Linked DNA regions of Macaca mulatta. The protein of the gene in region 1 interacts with the protein of each later gene in a pairwise test. Links are inferred from orthologs where the notes say so. Each region holds a gene or a part of one and is shown in the gene's direction. Other genes may lie near its edges.

Region 1 (3,646 bases):
ACAGGTATCAGCCACCGCACCTGGCCAAACTTTAATTTTTGTACTATAATATGTGCATAAAACTTATAGATTCATTTTAGGGTAACTGGCATCTTAATAGTATGTATTATAAGTCTTTGTTCAAGTCTTTTAAGTTATTTATTTCAGGCCGGGCGCGGTGGCTCAAGCCTGTAATCCCAGCACTTTGGGAGGCCGAGACGGGTGGATCACGAGGTCAGGAGATCGAGACCATCCTGGCGAACACCGTGAAACCCCGTCTCTACTAAAAAATACAAAAAACTAGCCGGGCGAGGTGGCGGGCGCCTGTAGTCCCAGCTACTCGGGAGGCTGAGGCAGGAGAATGGCGTAAACCTGGGAGGCGGAGCTTGCAGTGAGCTGAGATCCGGCCACTGCACTCCAGCCCGGGCTACAGAGCGAGACTCCGCCTCAAAAAAAAAAAAAAAAGGGCCGGGCGCGGTGGCTCAAGCCTGTAATCCCAGCACTTTGGGAGGCCGAGACGGGCGGATCACGAGGTCAGGAGATCAAGACCATCCTGGCTAACACGGTGAAACCCCGTCTCTACTAAAAATACAAAAAACTAGCCAGGCGAGGTGGCGGGCGCCTGTAGTCCCAGCTACTCCGGAGGCTGAGGCAGGAGAATGGCGCAAACCCGGGAGGCGGAGCTTGCAGTGAGCTGAGATCCGGCCACTGCACTCCAGCCCGGGCTACAGAGCAAGACTCCGTCTCAAAAAAAAAAAAAAAAAAAAAAAGTTATTTATTTCAGAGCTGAGATGGGAGGATTGCTTGAGCTGGGAGGTGGAGATTGCAGTGAGCCAATGTCACACCACTGCACTCCAGCATGGGCAACCAAGCAAGACCGCGTCTCAAAAAAAAAAAAAAAAAAAAAACCCTATGTTTATATCTTTTGCTACTTTTTCCTTTTTTGAGTACTATGTTGAATATTAGCAACCTAATAGGCATCCTCTCTAATTAAGCTCTCCGATAAGTATGTCATTTCCCAAACAAAAGCCTAGATTCATCTGTAATATAATGACACTCATAGTGACAGTGAGGGGGCAAAAATAGTTTTTGTCCTGAACAATCAGTTAATGGTGGTGCCACTTGCTGAGACAAAGAATACAGGAAGGCTAGGCATGGTGGTTCACGCCTGTAATCCCATTTTGGGAGCCTGAACAGGAGGATTGCTTGAGCCCAGGGGTTCAAGACCAGCCCAGGCAACAACATAGTGAGACCCTCATCTATACAAAAAATACAAAAATTAGGCCGGGCGCGGTGGCTCATACCTGTAATCCCAGCACTTTGAGAGGCTGAGGCTGGTGGATCATGAGGTCAGGAGTTAGACACCAGCGTGGCCAATATGGTGAAAGCTCTACTAAAAATACAAAAATTACCCGGGCGTGGTGGCAGGCACCTGTAATCTCAGCTACTCGGGAGGCTGAGGCAGGAGAATCACTCGAATCCGGGAGGCGGAGGTTGCAGTGAGCCAAGATCACGCCACTACACTCCAGCCTGGGTGACAGAGCAAGACTCCATCTGGAAAAAAAAAAAATTGCAAAAATTAATGGGGCGTAGTGGCATGCACCTGTAGTTCCAGCTACTTGGGAGGCTGAGGTGGGAGGATCTCTTGAGCACACCACTGCACTCCAGCCTGTGCAACACAGCAAGACCCTGTCTCAGAAAAAAACAAGAATACAGGAGGAAGAGCAACAAGATGGAATTCAGTTTTAGAAGCCGTCTGAAGTGCCTGTGGGCTACCCAAGTAAAGATATCCAGTAAGTAGTTCTCCTTAAGGGCTAGCACAGAATGCTAGGCTAGAGGTGAAGATTTGAGAGCTCTACATTTTTTTTATAGATGTTAACTGAAGCCACGGGCATGCAGGAGATCAATTCAGGGACAGTATATGTAGAGTGAGAAGAAAAGAATGCAGAGGGGAATGAGAAGGTCAGAGAGGTAAAGGGAAAACCAGTAGAAGTACAATGTGATGTTAACTCCCCAGGCAGGGCCCACAATACCTTCTCCCAGAGAAGCCTTAATGCCTAGGATCCTAGGGTCACAAAGGGATATCCTAGGATGTTTTGACTCTCTCTTTCTTTTTGCCAGTTGCCAGGTATAAACTCCGAATTGTTAAGCCACCAAAATTACCCCTAGAGAAAAAACCCAACCCTGATAAGGATGGTAAGTATTGAGTTCTCTGACCTGTTTCTGTGACCTGGGCTGGAGACCAGGGGCACCCAAAGCCAGTGGGCTGCAGCACACAATCTCCTTTTGTTCTGCACAGGTCCAGATTATGAACCCAACCTCTGGATGTGGGTAAACCCCAACATCGTGTATCCCCCTGGAAAACTGGAGGTCCCAGGACCTAGGAAGAGGGAGGATCTGACAAGCACACTTCCCTTGTCTCAGCCACCACAGAAGGAGGAAGATGCCAGCTGCTCAGAAGCCACAGGGGTGGAATCACTGTCCCGGTCCTCCAGCAAGTGGTCTCCCCCTCGGAAGCGCTTTGCCTTTTCCCCCAGCACCTGGGAGGTATGGATCTCTGGGGGTGGGAGCCGGACTTGGGCAGTAGGTGAGGGGCATGGGGAAGAGCCATCACAATTCTGCTCTCTTAGCCATAGCAAAAGGCGAATGGGTTCAGAAATTACCTTCATGCTTGGGTTGGGGAGAAGCCCAGATGGTGGCCTTAGACCACCCCCCCTTCCTGCCACTGCACCCTGGAGTAGAGGCTGAGGAGTCAGGACCAGTTCCTACTCTGTGCTCCTCTAGCTCACAGAAGAGGAGGAGGCTGAGGACCAGGAAGACAGCTCCTCTGTGGCTCTCCCATCCCCTCACAAAAGGGCCCCCCTCCAGAGTCGGAGGCTTCGGCAAGCCAGCAGCCAGGCGGGGAGGCTCTGGTCCCGGCCCCCTCTCAATTACTTCCACCTAATTGCCCTGGCATTAAGAAACAGTCCCCCCTGTGGCCTCAACGTGCAACAGATCTACAGTTTCACTCGGTATGTGCCGGGGGCCCTGTGAGGAGGGGGAAGTGGGGGCCAGGGCCCTGGGCTGATGCCTTCCAATCCATCCCAGGCCCTGGGTTGCTGACCTGGTTTCCCTATCTGGGTCTGAGAGGACGAGTATGTTCCCAGTTCCCTTTTCCCAGGCACATTTGTGCCCACATGTGTACAGGAACATATCCATTCCCAGCCCTTTTCACATCTAAAGAACCCTCCAACCTTTTTATGACTTTAGTTCTTTTTTTCTTTTTCTTTTTTTTTTTTTCTTTTTAACTAGTTTTCAGTGCTCTTTGGGTATAGTTCTCCTTTAAAACATAAATTCACTTGGGTCAGGTAACAGTTTTCCACCATCCTCTGAAGATGAGCCAGTCTAAAGTCAGGTTCCCCAACAGTTCCCACCTGCTTCTGCTAGGACTGGACTGCCTGGCACAGCTCCCTGCACCCCCAGGGGTGCAGGGAACCCAGTTGAGAAGGGTTTTCCATTTAGCTCAGAAAGTTCTGCTCACATGAGTGCGAGGGAGTTTGTTGGGCCCTTTCCCAGTGTTAGGAAAAGTGCCTAATGTCTCAGAATAGGCATTTTCAAGTGGTTTCCGTCCTCGATCAAGATTCCTCTTATGGGAGATGCTTGGCCTGATTCTGCTTTGTTCATGCTG
Region 2 (3,646 bases), on another chromosome or scaffold:
TTGTTTAGTAACATGTAAAGATGTAAATATCTTTCCTGGGACCTATTGCTCCTTTGTGAAGTACTGGAAGATGTTTTGTGTATATTACACAGTAGCCCCCCCTTACCCATGCCTCCACTTTCCCAGGTTTTAATTACCCATGGTCAACTGTGATCTGAAAATATTAGATGAGAAATTCCAGAAATAAACAATTTGTAAGTTTCAGATTGCATATTCTTCTGGGTAGTAGTATGATGAAATCTGGTCGTCCTGCTCTGTCCCATCCAGGACTGAGTCCTTCCTTTGTCCAGCATGTCCAAGCTGTGTGGCACGTATGGGCAGGAGAAAGCATAGCATATACGGGGTTCAGCACCATCCACGGTTTCTGGTGTCCACATAGTGGGGGGAGGGGTGCTTCTTGAAACAAAACCCTCATGGATGAGGGGGACTGCTGTGAACCAAAAGCTTAATTTAAAGAGGTGACCACAGACTGTATTGCACTATCCAGGATTCAGTTATCTTTTTGAATTATAAGCAGATAAGAACAAACATTCCGGAAGACGTTTCTTGTTTCCTTTGCTTTTGATTTTCTTCTGATGCTTCTTGGTGTCTTCTCTTGCTGCGGATCCCACAGGGACACCTCCACATCGCCCAGGTGCCGCAGGGGGAGCAAGTCCAGATCACGCAGGACAGCGAGGTGAGTCACCTCTTGCTGCAGCACTGTCCCTGCAGGCACGGTGCCCGCGTGCTCTCGACCTTCATCGGTGTCACAGTGCGAGGGCAGCCGGGAGCCCCAGAGGACGGGGAACGTGGGCAAGGGCTTCAGGACTCTGCTTCCAGGGTGCACGTGGCGGGCCTGCAGTCTCTGTGGCCTCACTGCCTCCCCTCCTGTCTGTTGGTCTCCACAGCTTCTGGTCTGTCTTGGTAAAGATCTCCTGGGTTGACGTTTCTGTTCCTGGCTGGAAGTGCCCTCTGAGTACCCTTCTCTCCCTGTCCGGCCCTGTCCTTCCTGCCAGGGGAGGCCCCCAGTGTGGCTAAGGTGTGGTCTACCCCTGCACAGGTGACCTGACATAGCCCCTCACCTGCCATGTGGCCCCAGCTTCCTCGTGGCCTCTGTGGGATTAGTGCCGATTTCATGGGACGGTGGGGAATCCCATGAGGTGATGCTGCCAGTCCTGAGAGCTGGGAATAGCCCTTGGCGCACCTGCCAGGTCTGTGATTATCTCCGCTGTCTCCATTTCTGGAGCTCTGCCTGGCCATGCACTCAGAAGTGTGGGCTCAGCTGCTGTTGGGGTCTGGAATGTGAAGGCAGGAGTGACAGTCTGAGTTCTTGGAAAGCCGAGGCTGGCCGGTTGCGGTGCTCCGTGTTTGCGTGCCACAGCAGGACTGTCTCCTGGGTGGCTGGTGACTGTCCTTCGACTCTGGGCTGTTTCCTACAGCACGGGCAGCAGCAGGCGCAGGGCACTAAGCAGCACACACGTGTTGTACTGAGTGACCGTGGTGCGCTCTGGGGGATGAGGAACATGGCTGTTTCTAGGTCGTGACAATAGCACCAGCGTTGTGTTTGGTGCACGACAGTGTGTCGTTACAAAGATCTCAGGTTTCTCCACACACACCAGCAGCAGAGTCTAGGAAGCTCGGATGCTGAGGTCGAGGGGACTCATGGAGATGTTAGCATGCGAGGCCTCCCGGGAGCTCGTGCTGGGTGCAGGTGCTGTTGGGGAGCGGAGGAGAGAGAAGCTCTGCCTTCGGAGATTCACGGTGGGCGCAGAGGCTCCTGCCCAAGTGCCCATGAGCAAGACTGTGGACACATGCATGCCGTGGCAGGAGGAGCCCCAGGGACTCAGATGTGTCTGCTGGCGGTGGCTTTAATTTGGACACCAGCAGTTCCCAGTGGGTTATCCTGAGAGAGGAGCACATGCATAAGCATTCCGAGGGTGGAATCAGGATGAGGTGAAAGGGGAGGAACGAATTCTTGTGGGGGCCGTAAGCGACTGGGAATGAGTGGGCTCATCCACACAGCAAGATGACCAGGTCACTAAGAAACATGTGGTCAGATGGATGGATGGAAGGAAGCACCGGGGTGGGGGGCAGGTGGGGGACGGTCCCGGGAGGCCAGAGTGTCCAGGAAGGAGCAGGGCCTGGTTCTGTGTCTGTGGGTGGGTCAGGGACCATCTCTGTGGAGATGCCGGGAGATGGCACTAGTCGGCTCAGTGCGGTCAGGTGCAGGAGTCGGGGGCCTGAGCGGCTGCGAGGTGCAGGATCCCAGCAGCACCTTCCAGTGCAGGAGCTGCCTTTGAAGGGCAGGGGAAGGTTTGCTTCTCAAGGCACAGACAAGTGGGGGCTGGAGGCTGAGGTCACTGTCAGAGAGCTCAGCCAGAGTTCTTGAATACCTGGAAGTCCATGCAGTGCGTCGGAATGCTTAATTTCCTTAGAGTCATTGGAAATGAAGGAAAATTGAAACAGCAGCAAAAGAAAAAACACACATTTGCTTTTTATAGTTTATGCTAAAAAATCTTGACTACTCGAATGCAATTTTTTATTACTAGTTTTTCCTCTTTTCAGTTTTCAAAACTGAATCCATCTTGTATAGGTGATCTTTTGTTTTCATTAAGATTTGAATGCAGTAAGTTAGAAATTGCTGATAATGCTAACGATGGCTTTGTGATAAGTGACAGTATGCAGTCTCCACCGTAAATTCATACCGTGTTCATTTGAAATTATTTTGTTAAAACAGGATATCTGCAAATAAACGTTTAGCAGGGTCTAACAGTCTTAAAACAGTTCCTTTTTACAACAAATGAAAGCGAGTTTCTAGCTGGAGAGCTCTTGGTAGCTCCGTGGTTGAGTGAGCTGGTTCCTCGTGTGCGGCCCATGTCCTGGCATGGTGATGCCGCACAGCTCAGCAAAGCGTCCTCACTGGGGGCAGCTGGGCGGCACACACATAGGACCTCTCTCTGCTACTTTCTGTACTTTTTGTGAGTCAAATTCTTTCAAAATAAAAAATGAAGCCAAAATGACATTTTCATTTGGGGTCAGGGTGGGGGAATGGGTACAGTGCTTTTTGAGTTGTTTGTTCACCTTTAAGATAATAAATAGTACCTAAAAATATAAATATTTTATTTTGGAGCTTTTGTTGCTACTAGAGGTTGAATTTTTAGAACCAGTGTTTTTCTTGTTATTCTCAAATGGCCCGTGATGTGTGTTGGCGTGTTTGCCGAGTCTACGGGTGTCTTGGCGTGTTTCTGCTCATGACCGTCTCCTCCTCTCATTCTTTGCAGGGCAACCTCCAGATCCATCACGTGGGGCAGGATGGTCAGGTGAGTGTCCCAGTGCGGGAGTTGCACTGCTGAGGGGTTGGGCTCTCACAGGAGGGGGTGGGACGGTCAGGTGAGTGCCGTGGTCCCCATGTACATGTGGGCATTGCGCTGCCAAGGGATGGGGCTCTCATGGGAGGGGGTGGGACGGTCAGGTGAGCTACCCCAGTCCTTATACATATACACAGGCATTGCGCTGCGGAGGGGTGGGGCTCTCACAGGATGGGGTGGGACGGTCAGGTGTGTGCCCTGGTCTCCACACACACGTGGGCATTGCGCTGCCAAGGGGTGGGGCTCTCATGGGAGGGGGCGGATGGTCAGGTGAGCGCCACAGCCCCTCTGTCACATAC
Region 3 (3,646 bases), on another chromosome or scaffold:
AGCTTGTTAGTCTAAAATCTTGTTTTACAGGCTGGGTGCGGTGGCTCACACCTGTAATCGTAGCACTTTGGGAGACTGGGGTGGGCTCACACCTGTAATCGTAGCACTTTGGGAGACTCGGGTGGGTGGATCACCTGAGGTCAGGAGTTTGAGACCAGCCTGGCCAACATGGTGAAAAACCTCGTCTCTACTAAAAACGCAAAAATTAGCTGGATGTGGTGGTGTGCACCTGTAATCCCAGCTACTTGGGAGGCTGAGGCAGGAGAATCTCTTGAACCTGGGGGCGGAGATTGTGGTGAGCCGAGATCATGCCACTGCACTCCAGCCTGGGCGACAGAATGAGACTCCATCTCAAAAAAAAAAAAAAAAAAAAAATTCTTGTTTTACAAATGATGACCAACCCATCTAGTGCCCTTCACACTCCTGGGTGCTGTTTCTCACAGCCATGTGTTCTGTTAAGCAGATTGCAGGCAGCCCTGGTTTGCATTAGTAATTTCTTAGTGAATGGGTAGTGTGCGGGTAAACCTCATTCTCACCCCATGAGTGTAGGGCACACACAAGCTGGGTTTTCCAGGAGCCTGTCTGCAGCCTGTGCCCATGTTCCTAGAAGTACGTGAAGGGACACTGTCTGCCTTCTCTTGGGGGCGTGCATGCACAGAGGACATGCTGTGCCTCAGCCCCCAGTGCCTTGGCCTGCAGAGGGCAGGGCTGCTGTGTGGCACAGAACTCAGGACCTATGAGCCTCCTTGGGTGGCCCCTCCTGCCTGCTGTGGCCTCTGCAGCCCTGGCCTTGACTTCCTTTCCTGTCACTTGCGTGCCTCTGCCCCTGGGCCTCCCTCTGCCCGAGTGGCAGGAGCTTGCAGCTTTGTATATATGGGCAGTTGGTGACTCATTCCTCAGCAGCCCCTCAGATAGGGAAGTGAAACAGCCACACCTGGTAGGGCCTGACCTTTGGGTGACAGCAGAAGTAGCTAAGCAGACATGGGGCTTGCAGCTAAGGAGGGAAGTCTTCTCTAAAGCCAGCCTGTGAAGACAGCACTTGCCTGCCCTGACCCTCCTGTGACCTCCAGGCCTGTGACTCTGGTAACAGTTTCTTCCTCCCTCCCCACCACCCCCTTTTTCTTGGTGACAGCTGGAAGTAGCAGTGGTCACAACTGAGAGAGCCAAACATTTCTACAGCCCCCAGGACATTCCTGTCACCCTCTACAGCGATGCTGATGAATGGGAGGTCAGTGCTGGGGGCTCCTGGGCTGAGTCCCGTTGACTTTCCACCAGCAGGACAGAGCAGTCCTCCCTGCAGCCTATGGTCTGGCAGCTGGAACAGACAGGCTGGGCTCAAATCCACGGTCAGGGCCCTCTGGGCAGAGGCAATGAAGAAAACATCTGTCTAGCTTCTGGCCTGCAGGAGGCCCTAGTCTCCTCCCAGCCCAGGCGGAGCTGGGCTTTGGCCTGGTGCCTGAGGTTGAGTGTCCTTGTACTTATCTGGGCTGATGAAACCACAGAGGAGCTCTGTTCCCACCACCCTTGTCCACGTGGCTCCTGGCGTCAGGGCTAAAGAGAACGCCTCACTTCCCACGGCCACTGGGCTCTGCTGCATCTCCCCTGCGGATGGGTGGGCACTGGCTGATTCACCAGACACTGAGTGTGGGCCTCACAGGGGTTCCCTGCCAGGCATTTCCAAACATTCTCAGCCTAGAACATTTCCGGCTGGTCTGTCTTCCCTGCCCCCACCCCCTCCATTTCTCACTGCCCCAGAGCCTTCCACTGGCTTGGACAACCCAAGCATCCGCCTCAAGCAGACAGGCCGGGAGCTCCCTGCCAGATGTCAGTTCTCTTGAAAGCCAAACCGTGAAGGGAGTAGCTCAGAGAGACAAGGGGCGCTTGTTTCCTCTGGCCTGGTTCTCTCGGCTGCTGGCTCCATGGCTAGTGCTCGCCAGCTTAGCTGCAGGAGGGAACGGAGGTTGGCCTGGGCAGGGCAGGTCAGTGGGCTTCTCAGTCTCCTCGCCTGCCTTGGCGCTGCATCCCACTTCCTCCACACTGACCCCTTTTTCTTCCCTCTGCCAGATGTGGAAGAGCCGCTCTGACCCAGTTCTGCACATTGACCTGCGGAGGTGGGCAGACCTCCTGCTGGTGGCTCCTCTTGATGCCAACACGCTGGGGAAGGTGGCCAGTGGCATCTGTGACAACTTGCTTGTGAGTGATGCCCTGGTGCCCTTGTCCCTCCCTGGGCTTCACTCCCAGTTTGCTGAGCTGCAGACATCCTTGTACAAGGAGACCTGCTGCTGTGGGGCCCCAGTCTACTCAGGGAGATCATGCTCTCCCATTCCCCCCATCGCCCCCTAGTCATCTCACCTTCTCTCCAGCACGTGGGCACAGCCCTGGTCCTGATGGGTCAGCTTGACCTACTGCTGCTCCCCAGGAGTGTCCCCTTCTCCCCTGCCCTTGGCATCCAGCCAGGTGCCCACAAGCAGACCCTCGTTCCTTGTTCTTTGTCCCTCTCTGTGGGCTGCCTGGATGTGCTCTTCCACTGTTTCTGCCCAGCCCCATCACCTCCTGCTTCTGCCTTCTCCCCAGATCAGGGTATACACGTGGGCAATGTGATTGGGGATTCACTTCTTCATAGATGTCTCATACACTTTATTGCCCTTGTAGTGTTCCTATATATTACGGGAAGCTTAGAGGGGAAGAGGGGAGAAAGATAGGGGCAGTGGCGAGAGCCGATGGGTGGTAGGGAGAAATGGAAGTCCAGCTGTCCAAAGTGGGCGCTGTCCTAGGCCTAAGATGCCTCCAGGGAGCTGTTGCCCGTAAAGGGGAGCTGCCTTTGTTTATATAATCGTTCTGGGAAGATTTGGGTGTGATTTCTCTCCTCCCTCTCCCTTATTGCCACCCCTCACCTCATTTATTGAGCTTTCGCCTACCACGTACTGGGATCTATGCTGAGAGCCTCACAGGACACGGAGCTCCCAGGCTGGAAGGAGAATGCCACGCTTGATCACCCATGGCAGTGGGAAGGGAGTATCCTCTGGTGAGGACTACAGTCCTGAATGACCCCAGTCAGTCCTTTGACTATGGAGTCACCACCTTGCATAGTGCTGGGCCTGTGGTAGACATCCAGTAAATACTGCATGTATGGGGTAGCTAGCAGTTTTACTTTTGCAAGTAGCTGGGAGTTTTTCAGAGTTTCATGTGGTGAAGAAGGTGGATAATGAAGCTGGGACAGGATGTTTTTTGGGGTCACAGATTAGTGTTCTTGTATACTTGTCAATGGGCTCTAAAGGCACTCCTCAAAGAATCTGCCAGTGATTTAAGCATCATTTGAATAAGAGCACAGAGTGAGCAGAAGAACAACTTGTGTGGCCAGGAACAGGGGAAGGGAGTGCAGAGAAGAGAGCCTGGGAGTAATGTCATCAGGAAGACTTTCCCTATAGTCCCAGCTACTTGGGAGGCTGAGGTGGGAGGATCGCTTAAGCCCAGGAGTTCTAGGCTGCAGTGCCCCTTGATTGTGACTGTGAATAGCCAGAATAGCCAGTGTGGTCCACCCTGGGCAACATAGCGAGACCCTGTCTCTATTGAAAAAAAAAAAGAAAGGGCCGGGGATGGTGGCTCATGCCTGTAATCCCAGCACTTTGGGAGGCTGAGGCAGGAA

Evidence for each region.
Region 2: the proteins of FOXR1 (region 1) and BANP interact in binary tests that used the Homo sapiens proteins (3 or more experiments, as listed by UniProt). The two-hybrid records come from large-scale screens. The link is inferred for Macaca mulatta from reciprocal best matches to the Homo sapiens genes FOXR1 and BANP.
Region 3: the proteins of FOXR1 (region 1) and PPCDC interact in binary tests that used the Homo sapiens proteins (3 or more experiments, as listed by UniProt). The two-hybrid records come from large-scale screens. The link is inferred for Macaca mulatta from reciprocal best matches to the Homo sapiens genes FOXR1 and PPCDC.

Annotation. Positions count from the first base shown.
Region 1 is NC_133419.1:119,666,565-119,670,210, forward strand, and holds part of FOXR1 (forkhead box protein R1), read left to right. Parts: intron 1-2,100; coding exon 2,101-2,175; intron 2,176-2,278; coding exon 2,279-2,526; intron 2,527-2,763; coding exon 2,764-2,990; intron 2,991-3,646. UniProt on the Homo sapiens protein: Transcription factor which acts as both an activator and a repressor.
Region 2 is NC_133425.1:83,425,334-83,428,979, forward strand, and holds part of BANP (protein BANP), read left to right. Parts: intron 1-604; coding exon 605-676; coding exon of another isoform or gene 677-716; intron 717-3,260; coding exon 3,261-3,299; exon of another isoform or gene 3,300-3,646. UniProt on the Homo sapiens protein: Controls V(D)J recombination during T-cell development by repressing T-cell receptor (TCR) beta enhancer function. Binds to scaffold/matrix attachment region beta (S/MARbeta), an ATC-rich DNA sequence located upstream of the TCR beta enhancer.
Region 3 is NC_133412.1:52,997,709-53,001,354, forward strand, and holds part of PPCDC (phosphopantothenoylcysteine decarboxylase), read left to right. Parts: exon of another isoform or gene 1-376; intron 377-968; exon of another isoform or gene 969-1,132; coding exon 1,133-1,228; exon of another isoform or gene 1,229-2,030; intron 2,031-2,064; coding exon 2,065-2,193; intron 2,194-3,646. UniProt on the Homo sapiens protein: Catalyzes the decarboxylation of the cysteine moiety of 4-phosphopantothenoylcysteine to form 4'-phosphopantotheine and this reaction forms part of the biosynthesis of coenzyme A.